Linked DNA regions of Arabidopsis thaliana. The protein of the gene in region 2 interacts with the protein of the main gene of each other region in a pairwise test. Each region holds a gene or a part of one and is shown on either strand. Other genes may lie near its edges.

Region 1 (3,761 bases), on a different chromosome or scaffold from region 2:
TACATTTTGCTAATGGACTAAGCTTTCTTCTCTCTAACTTTCAGACATATTTGGAAGTAAAAAGTTTCCAAATCAAAAACAATTTTCTTGAAGAATTAAATATTTTGATCCCCAATCTCAGCTTCAGGCCTTTTTCTTCTTCTGCATTCTCTGCAGCTTCCTCCATTTCAGGTAAATTTGGTAAGACAATCCACCGAACACCATCGACACACATCCCCATTGTTTGGAAGATAACGGATTCCCGCTCAAAACTGAAGATACCACGATGCTTACAAACTTCCTGGTTGTGGTTATGGTCGTGTTAGCTAGAGACCCGAATCTGCTTATTGTCAAGAAGATGAAGTTTTGGCCTACTGCACCGCATAAACAGTACATAAGAATGTCCCATGCTGCCTCAGGGTGTTGCTTGCAGAACTGCACAGCTTCAAATCCGCTCCCATGTGGCAATCCAAACATGTAGACCATGTTGTATATGGTTCCCCATAAATTCATTCCCAGCATTATGTCCCATGCGTTAGTTTTGGGGTACCTGTATCCATGTATGGCGATGATTAATGTCCAACATCTAGACCATGTTGTAGATGTCAGACTGGGTTAAGTATCTGACAGAATGTCAAGAGTCATACCTTGCGGTAATGGAATCCTGGGTTGCGTTTGTGAATCCATCAAAGGCAAGGTTTAAGAAGCAAAGCCCGTAACCAAGGGGTGCATTGGGATGTGCTAGCTTGCTGATGGTTTTAGAGCTTGTCTGTAAACCAAGTCAAAGACGGTTTACTACATTTCCACAGACAAAGTATAACAAAGATTATGATCAAAGTTCCTGAATGCAGATTTGCCTACCTTAAGAAGGGCAAACATAGATACTCCTCCGGCAACAAGAAAGGTGCAAAGATACTCAGGCAAAGTGTATCTTATGCCATAAACTAAGGAGCCCATCAGCATAACTACATGAAAGAAAAAACATATATAAGATACACATAGCAGCAGTTGAGAGCGATTATGGATTGATGCTCTAAATTGACACCTCACCTGGAATCATTTTGGAAGATTTTGCAAGGACCTGCAAGAAGCAAGTTTTGCATCAATATTACTTCCCAAGAAAGGTTATTACCTCAACTATCAACCATAATCAAGAAAAATGAGGTTTTTATTACACTAACAATGCCTAATTTACCTGAGCTGGGTAACTAATATACTTTAAAGCTTCAATGCCCATAGCAGGACCAATGGTATTAGTAATGCCAGCACTCCAATACGTCCACCATGGGGCTCCACCAGAACCTCCGTTGGACCAGAGCTTAATCACTGCTCATAATCAATCAAAAATACTTCAGTTCCATTTATTCGTCTGTTATAAACTTATAATTCTAAGGAATAAACAATGAAGATGCCCTACTCACTTATATAAGACCAAACCAAGCAGATTACATTCTGAGCCAAATTCAGAAATGCAAGATGCTCGAATCTCTTCCCATCTTCACCAAATTTCTTCGTCGACCTAATTCGAAAATGTTAGAGTTCTATCAGCTACATTTCTATAAATTTCCAATAATTGCAAACGCATCACCAACCAGGATTCCGAGAATAGAAACAATCTCGAACAAACAGAATCGAGCAATGTCGAGAGAAAATAATCAACGAGCTAAAATAAGATTGATCGATTTCGACCCTAACGAGTTTTACTTACAAGGTCTCTTGAAGAATGCCTTGGTATATGTAAGCTGCCCAGATCCCAGCGACACAGAACGACAATAACAGAACTCGCCGGAGACCGGAACCGTGAGATTCCATCGCCGCACGTCGCTTATTGTTTTATCCGACGGAGCTCCGGCGAAAATTTGAATTTCAATTTTACGCTATTTGATCAGTTTTGCGATCAAATTATGAGATCGGTCTGAAGTGGAAACGAAAGTTATTAGAGAGAGTGTAGGAGGCGCGAGAAAGACGTAGATTTTCCACGTGTAACTGTGTCATTGGCTTAATAATCTGACATGACACTTCTGATTGGCTATAGGACGTGGATTTATTTCTGGAATCCAAGTCATATGCACATTCATGTCTGAGATAGGAATGGGAACTATGTGCCGTTTTATTGTCATGAAAACGTCACGCAGTTTCCTAGAACTTGTAAACGGATGTTCTTTTTACAGCTTGGGCCTTAATTTGATTAAGCAAACTTGCACACAGCTAATCATGTCAGTTTGACTAACTGATGAATTCATACAAATCTAAGATCACTTGTGGTAAGAAAATGAAAGAAAAAGGCGTATATACACAAATGGAGGAAAGTTGCCAACATGATTTAATTGATTAAAATTTAGTGATGACCCATTGTTAAGATTACTAAAACAAAATATGATATATCTTAAAGTAAATGTGACAATAACGTCAACATAGCGAGAAAAGTTTGAAATATCGAATTTCCATTATATTAAAACAAGGTATCACATGCATGCACTCATGCATAGTTCATTATGATTTGAGTAATTTTCTATACGAATAATATTATACTATATCTCAATGAAAATAGAAGTTATATATATTGGGAAACGGAATTTATATGACATACTTAATCCTCATGGGAGAACCAATTATACATTTTGAAGAGTCAAAAGTCAAAACTCAAAAGAGTGACTCTTACCGGATACAAAATGAAAATAGAAGTCTTGGTGAGATAACAAATTAATGTGTAACATAACAATATAATATCATAAAAGATTCCAAATGGGGCTTTTGTCCACACGTGATATGCAATATGCAAAAGAAAAAAGAACTCTCTTTCGATCTGCCGGTCAATAACAATGTGAATATAGATTAACTGATTAATAAGTAGTTTCTTGGGTCAATGCATGGGATATTATATTTAAGAAATACACCAAAAATGTATTCGACGTTAGCCACCACGTTCCATTAAAAATTCAAATCTAAATGATGATTACCGTCGTCTACATCTATGATTACAAATTTTTTGTCTACTATGCGTTTAGTTATTTACCATGGTTTGACGATTATATATATAACACACATAAATTATGACGGTTTAACGTTGTCTCTTAACTCAAAACTTAATTTTACAAAAATATTATTTAAGAGTTGAATCTCATACTTTAATTATTCATTTGGTCAACTAGAATGCGAAAAATCCACAATACTTCGTAACTAATTTCGGGTCCTTTAAATCTTGATCACCTGTTGATCAACAAAAGATCTACACATAAAGATTGATTCATCCATTGACTAAACTTTTATTTATCGAAGAAAGACTATATATATCTAATGCATGCATGCCATATGCACAATAATCTAATAGTAAATCCAATACGTCTCAGAAAGATAAAATCGTCCATAATACCAAATTTTATTCTAAGGTTTTGATATCTCTCATAATTTGGAAGTGTATGTAAAAGTTTCTTAAACATAAATATAACATCCAAAGAAAAGTTGTAAACACTTAACATCTTGATTGAAGGGGAATCTCGCTAATAATTGTGACTGAACGATAGTAAGTATTATTGTAAAATATCGATCAAAATTTCAACGATATGGGCGATCCAGACCCACCACTTTGTTGTCCCTTAGCAGACGTCAACCATGACCATAATTAGTTAAAAAAAACACCAAACAAAAACCACAACTTCCTTTTAATTCTTTTTAAATTCTAAATTTCAGACTAACAAAAAGTATTCATAAGCTGTTTCATGTATGAATTTAATATCATGAATACTAATAACTTGAGCCATTAACTTTAACCAAAAAAAAAA
Region 2 (3,761 bases):
AGAATAATCTTCTTTTACTTATGAGTAAATTTTGGTTCTGTCTCGAGGACGAGAAATTGTATAACTCTTTCTTAGAAATAAACTTATTTTTTCTTGAGTCCTAATTTATCCAATAAGAAAAATTATAATGTGAGTGGGGCAACATGGGAGGGATATAATTATCTATTATGTTTCATGATGGAGACAAAGACTTGTGATCGTAATTATTGAATCAAATCATTGGTCCAATATTTAATAATGTCTAATGACTAAAAGATTTAAAATTCAGTCGAGACCTCAGCATCTAGGCTTATTTAATTATTAGTGGTTCCAATCTTGTTACAGTGACAATGGACTAGGATGACAACTTGCTATAGAAGTTTTAGGAATAAAATTATTTAAATCACCCTTAATCTCTCCATGTTTAAAGCTTAAAAGACATAAAAGACATGACAATGAATTTTAAGAGTGATTTTAATTAATAAAATTAAATAGAAAAAGTAGGAAATTTTGTCAAGTTTGAGTTGTGATCACGAAAAACACTATCTAAAGTGAATGGGATCATTGAATTTTATGAGTGAGATAGTGACAAAGGAAAAATATAATTAATACACAGATAAAACATAGTTTATCATGTACCATATTGTGGGTGCATGGGTGGGTCCTTATGATAGTGTATAATTTTGAAATCTGACTATCTTACTATATAATCTTGTGGACTTGGTCTCCAGCAACTTCTACACCAGTCTACTAGGAATAAATATGTGTTCAATAATGGTGATTACATATGCCTAATCTATGAGTTTTACCACAAAATGGCACTAACTGCGAAACGTTAAGAAAGCTAATGTAGGTTTCTCTCCAACACTAGAAAACATAAGATTAATTAAGTCAGAAAATATTTTTTTAGTTTTTTCAAAGATGAGGAAATCCAAAACGAAATAACTTAAAGCTGCAAAACAAAAAAAAAGAATATAGAGAATAAGAACAATTCTCTTTTGGACATCTTCACAAAAGCTAAAGAGAAATTTTTTAACTTTTTGATTTAAAACCACATACTTTACTTTTTGAAAGAAAAAATAACCTATCTTTCTATGGCAAGAACAAACCGTAGGTCTCACATAATCTAGAGATTTTACAAAACATTCTCTTTACTTCGTATCTTATCTCCATTAATCATCTAATAATATCTAATTAAACCCACAATGATTCGTTGGCATAGTTGCATAACCGATATTTAGTCTAGATTTACCTCTAAACCAAACCTAAACCGGAAACTAGAAATTTCGGGGTTCTTTTTATAAAAGAGAATAAAAGAAGAAAGAACATGCCTGGAGAGGAGTGATCTTAGAGGAGGAGAAGAACTGATCGGCGGTGATGAATTCTTGGTTGAGTTTAGGACAAACATTAGTATCAGCCAAACAAGCCCTTAGCCTTCCCCAGTTCTTGGAATCCACAACGTTCTCCTTAAGCCAATTCGAGAACCCTTCAAGCCTATACTCTTTATAACCTCTACCCGGAACCCGATACGATCCATCGGGCCGGGTCACGACGAATGCAAATATAAGAACCACCAGCAAAAGTCCGATCAATATCGCCATACAGCACAAGTAAACCGCCAGTAGAGTTTCCTTGTACCTGAAATATGAGAGCTCAAAGTTTACATCTTTATGATTCAATTTGTGTCTATGTTTTCAAAGTCTTGAAGTTCTTTGATTCTTACTTGTAGGCGCCGATGAAGCCTGTGGCGGAGACGACGAGGATGAGAACGCCGAGGACGACAACGGGCCAACGGAGGAGATTGACACACTCGTTGTCTGGCTTTGAAGCTAGCCATATACCTGACGCCGTTATTGGTATGGAACAGAGTAACGCTAGTAAGTTGAGTATCGCCGTTAAGTTATTCGCTAACGCCATTAAATTTTCTCTCTCTCTCTCTCTTTGTTCTTGAAGATTCGTGCTTTTTATGGAAAGAAAATGAAATAATGAGAGTGAGAGGAGTGTCTCTGTTTTTGTCTTAATGACTTATGAGGTCGGTGGTTAGAGATGATGGGATGTGTGAAACCAGTTACTGCTATTTACAGAAAACGATGTTCGGTTTGGTCCGGTCCGGTTAATCACTGATTTTGCTGATTTGGATTTTTCGACAACGGTGGTTTTAAGAAAAAAGAATTAGATATTGGATTAAAGTTAACATGTGAATGTCAGAATAAAATATGTTTAGCAATGAAAAGTTAGGTTTTGAACAAGTTTTGGGTTGTGATGTAATAAAGAGAACTTGTTAATCTGGTCGGACCGGCTTTTGGTTTAGAATTTGGAATCTTGAACGGGACACGTGGATACGCGAGATGCCTTTTGTGTTAATATTCTTCCATTCTGCGAGTTACCGAATGCATCAACCAGTGAGAACTATCCACGTGGCACCGACGACTTTGGGTCATTTGCATTGAACGTATGTTACTTTCGACAGAGAATGCAAAATGGAGTAAGTTCCATTGTTCGGAAATCGGAATTTTCTTCTTTTCCAAGCATTAGAGGTTTCGGAGCAGGATTTGTCGTTGGCTGATGAGTGAAATGTCGGGTAATGGTCAAGAGATAAGCTTTTGTTTTGGTTCAGAGGATTGGGATTGCACACAAGCTGCTCGATAGAATGTGTGAACCAAAACATATGGATGAATTTTTCTCATCTCGATTTTATTGCGATTGGAGAAGAATTTTGAGTCAATACACACTTAGCTTTCAGTTTTAGATGCTGATATAGAAATGCTATTTGTTTGATTCTAGGAATTGGGAAGGAAATGAGTCAAATCAGAGAGAATATGGAAAGAGATGATGGCGGAGTTGTGGATTACGTTAAGAGTTGAATTACATCTTATAAATCATGAAATTGACTGTCAATCTTAGAGCTTAGATTACAAGCTCTTTGTCTAATCTCAAGTTCGACACAGAGCTTGATGAGACTGCTTCAGTTTGGCTTTGGAACTTTTCAAGTGGAAGTGAAGAAAGAAGAGTGAAGTAGTATAGCTGAATCAGCAAGATTCTGACATGGCTGGTTATTTAAATTATAAGGAAACACAAGAAGAAGACAAAGTTTTTATGATGTGAGTACAGAAGCGTCAAATTCCAGATGCATCCTAGGCTGAATCCGCATTTCCCATTTTCTTCATGGTCTCAAGTCTGGGGCCTTTGTCTCCAAACTTGGTAGTTGAATAAAGCTTTAGGTAGTCTTGAAAACGGTAGCCACTTGGATACAAGAGCTTTGGAGCTGGAGATATTATGGCATCACCAGCCGGATTGTAAAACGTAGCAATCGACAGTCTACTTCCATGCTTCACTGTCATTACACGGTGAACAACACTCTTGTACCTCCCATTACTCAGTATCTCTAGTTGATCACCGGTATTGACAAAAATGGTATTGTTCTTGGATGGCGGTATAGGAACCCACTTCCCATCTTTAAAGAACTCAAGACCAGGCACTTGATCATCCTGCAGGAGTAATATGATTCCCCCAGCATCCGTATGTTCTCTCAGCCCTCTCATAAGCTCAGGACGTGGGCATTCTGGGTATTTAGCCACTTTTGTTCCAAAAGCTGGACCTTTTGGACCAGAAAAGGCATTCATTATGTCTTCCTGATCAAGACCAAGATTCTCACACATGAGCTTGGAGAGTCTCTCTGCAAACTTGTGCAGTTGACAAACATATTCATCCATCGTCTTGCTGCAAATATCAATTTCACCCTCTCACATTGTTTAGTTAAATAAGCAAACAGGTAAAAATGG
Region 3 (3,133 bases), on a different chromosome or scaffold from region 2:
AACAGGGATCACTCTTAGCTTAACAACACTAGACGGGAGGAATCTGACTATCCCGGTTTTGGATATCGTTAAACCGGGTCAGGAGATAGTGATTCCTAGTGAAGGAATGCCCATCTCTAAAGAAGGTTCAAAGAGAGGAGATCTAAGAATCAACTTTGAGATATGTTTCCCCTCGAGGCTAACATCGGAACAGAAGACAGATCTCAAGAGAGTTCTTGGTGGTAGCTGAATTGGCAACTAGTTTCAAGAAAGCTCTTGAATTCAAAAGGTCAATTCAGTGTACATACATATACAGAATTGATCGGTTTTCGTTTTTGATCTCATATCTTGATCACGAAATAGTAAGCAGAATTGATTGTTTTTTGTTGTAAAAGCTATCTTTGTTGTTATCTAATTTATTCTGCTTTCATAAGTTATATATGTAACTCTCAACTTCATACAAGCTCTTCGAAAATGTTATGTAACGTTTGTTTTTTTCCATTTAGTATTTTAACATATACTTGGAATGGGACTCTTTTTTTTTTTTTTTTATGGTATAGTTCTTTTAGTCGCCATACTCACATTACCATTGTTATGTTGTTTTGCTTACGTTGGGGTGATTAGATTTCATACAAATATAACTACAACATTTTTGTTAATTGTTTTCATTTTTGACATTATTATTTATATTGTTTTGAGAAATTAAACAACAAACCAGAAACCCAACTTCAAACAATCAATTCAGAACAGACATTCAAAAGTATAATAATCATTTTTTTGTAAGGGAAAAGAAAAAACTTAAACCCTATGTTGTTCAATCTTCTTCACGAGCTCATCAGGTTTGGCTCCAACAACCCTATCAATCTCTTCTCCTCTCTTCACAAAAACAAAAGCTGGAAGTGTAATAGCTCTATATGTCCCAGCCACATCCTGGAATACATACCAATTATAGCTTAGTCTTGAAACCATAAGATGATTCTTCTTCAAGTAATAAAAAAAAAGAGTAATTACCATTAGCCTATCCACATCAACCCTAGCAAACACAGCTTCTGAGTACTTTGAAGCAATCTCCCTAACTCTAGGTTCCATTGCTTTACAAGGTCCACACCATACAGCTGTGAAATCAATTACTAGCTTCAAAACCACAATAATTTTTTCAGTTAGTTTAAGAGAAAAAACATGTCATTTACTTGTAAACAAAATTAGAAAACACAAATAGTATAAGATTTAAAACAAACATTATAAGTTTGGTTAAAAAAATTTAATACGTTTTAGGTAGTTTTCGAGTAATGTATACCAATTTGTTTGAGCCTTTCATGGAATCAAAGAGAGATTTCCATTGTCTTCTTGATTCGATTTCCACAACAAATCCATTACTGGTAATTTCCATTGATGAATGAACATCATGCACAGATGAAACATTGGAACCCATTATCTTCGGAATGTGTATGTATGAAGAAATGGTGTTCACTTATTTGCTAGTGATATACTGATATGCAAAGAAGAGAGACAAGGAGGAGCATTATATAGCTTTTAATCGGAGAACTTAATTTGTTGGTTATAAATAAATAAGTAAATGCAAAGGAATATGATTCAATTTGCTATCCTTCTTTAGTTCTAGCCGTTGATTTTTTTATTTTTTCAAGAATATATAGCTTATACCAATTTAGTTTCGCTTTGTGTTTTTAAAATTCCAGTTAGTTGTTAAATATTCTCCACTACATAAAAATATAGCTGGTTGCAAGGAACTAGCTTGCCTATCACATTTGCAAACGAATTTTTTATTTTTGTGGGTGGATAACAATCCGCGGCGGATCGATTTTCTAATTAAAAAATGGTAGCCTAGGTACTTGATTTATTAGTTTAGATTAATTAGTTATTGTCAACGCTATAAATTAAAAGTAGTTAAAATTTGTTTTGTTTAAATAATATATGCACCATCCACTTCAAGGATCTAATACCTATATAATATTAATGCTATTAATTACTATAAAAATAAAAATGTCACATGGCAGGAGAGTTTCTAATGAGAACTCATTTTTATTTTTTTCCTAATTGATGGTGATACTCTTATGTCTTTACTGAAATCTTTAATTTACATTTACATAAAACTTTACAGAACGAAATTAGATTAGAATAAAACGAGAAAAAAATTTGCAAAATGACCATGCATGTCATTGTAAATTTGTAATGTTGTTTGGTGTGTCCGTGTGTAAGAATATTGATTTGTGTTAAAAAGAAGCTGTCATCAAATTCTTCCTCAAGGTCCTTCTTATTCCATTTCAGTACTTATAGGAATCATTGTCGAAAATGAGTTTGAAATTAACAATTTATTCGATACTGGGGGACAAGAAATGCACGTCGTAGCCACGAACATCATCTTTAACTTTTTGCCCATAAACTTTCACATCATCCTCTTATAATTCTCATTCTCAAGGAACTAGGAATGCTGATTCAAAAATACAGTTCGGTGATGCTCGAATATCTTAAATTTTAGAACATATTGTTGGGGTTTAAGATCTCGATTTGCAAATATTAATTTGAAACCATTTTTTGGTCTGATTTCTAATAAAATTGAAACACCACTGTTTTATAAGAACTAAAAAAAACTTGTAGAAATGTTGCATCAAAGTATGCTTTATAAAACATTAAATATATATATGTTGGGATCAAAATATGCATATATATATATTATATATATATATATATGAAGGCGTTATCAAAGAAATACAACAAGTTTTTTAGAAAACTGAAAACATTAAGGAATACTTCTTAAATTTGTAAGTACCCTTCCTAAGACTTTCTTTCCCTTACTTTTACTGTATTTGGAATTTTGGAATTGTGTAGTTTAAGACTTAAAAGAATTCTCAAATATTTATTGTACTGGTAATTCATAAAGTAAACTAATCACGTTTAGATATTTAAACATGTGTAGAAAATCGTTTTTAATTTAGATTTTGCCTTTGAATTTATTCATTTTTTAATCATAATTTATCGATAATATTACACATGACTTTCTTAAAGGTTGCATGAGTTCTGCTACCCACATATTTCTTTATTCCTAGCTCGATCTATAAAGATTCTAATATAAGTTTTTCCACAATCTAAAGAATTTTATTCCATGAAATCGTATCCATACAATTTTATATTGTTG

Evidence for each region.
Region 1: the proteins of TET2 (region 2) and UTR3 interact in a protein complementation assay, tested with the Arabidopsis thaliana proteins (one large-scale study listed by BioGRID).
Region 3: the proteins of TET2 (region 2) and TH7 interact in a protein complementation assay, tested with the Arabidopsis thaliana proteins (one large-scale study listed by BioGRID).

What each region holds. Positions count from the first base shown.
Region 1 is NC_003070.9:4,911,239-4,914,999, forward strand, and holds the start of UTR3 (UDP-galactose transporter 3), read right to left. Parts: upstream 1,930-3,761; 5' UTR 1,792-1,929; coding exon 1,688-1,791; intron 1,499-1,687; coding exon 1,401-1,498; intron 1,306-1,400; coding exon 1,175-1,305; intron 1,061-1,174; coding exon 1,030-1,060; intron 945-1,029; coding exon 841-944; intron 749-840; coding exon 627-748; intron 530-626; coding exon 124-529; 3' UTR 1-123. UniProt on the Arabidopsis thaliana protein: Essential sugar transporter required for the transport of UDP-glucose from the cytoplasm into the Golgi and the endoplasmic reticulum. Essential for pollen development and involved in embryo sac progress.
Region 2 is NC_003071.7:8,473,126-8,476,886, forward strand, and holds the start of TET2 (tetraspanin2), read right to left. Parts: upstream 2,029-3,761; 5' UTR 1,897-2,028; coding exon 1,703-1,896; intron 1,618-1,702; coding exon 1,311-1,617; exon of another isoform or gene 480-1,310; intron 1-479. Other genes in the region: ACO1 (ACC oxidase 1), read right to left, coding at 3,114-3,699. UniProt on the Arabidopsis thaliana protein: May be involved in the regulation of cell differentiation.
Region 3 is NC_003070.9:21,951,982-21,955,114, forward strand, and holds TH7 (thioredoxin H-type 7), read right to left. Parts: upstream 1,500-3,133; 5' UTR 1,412-1,499; coding exon 1,277-1,411; intron 1,114-1,276; coding exon 991-1,113; intron 910-990; coding exon 778-909; 3' UTR 616-777; downstream 1-615. Other genes in the region: AT1G59725 (DNAJ heat shock family protein), read left to right, coding at 1-229. UniProt on the Arabidopsis thaliana protein: Probable thiol-disulfide oxidoreductase that may be involved in the redox regulation of a number of cytosolic enzymes.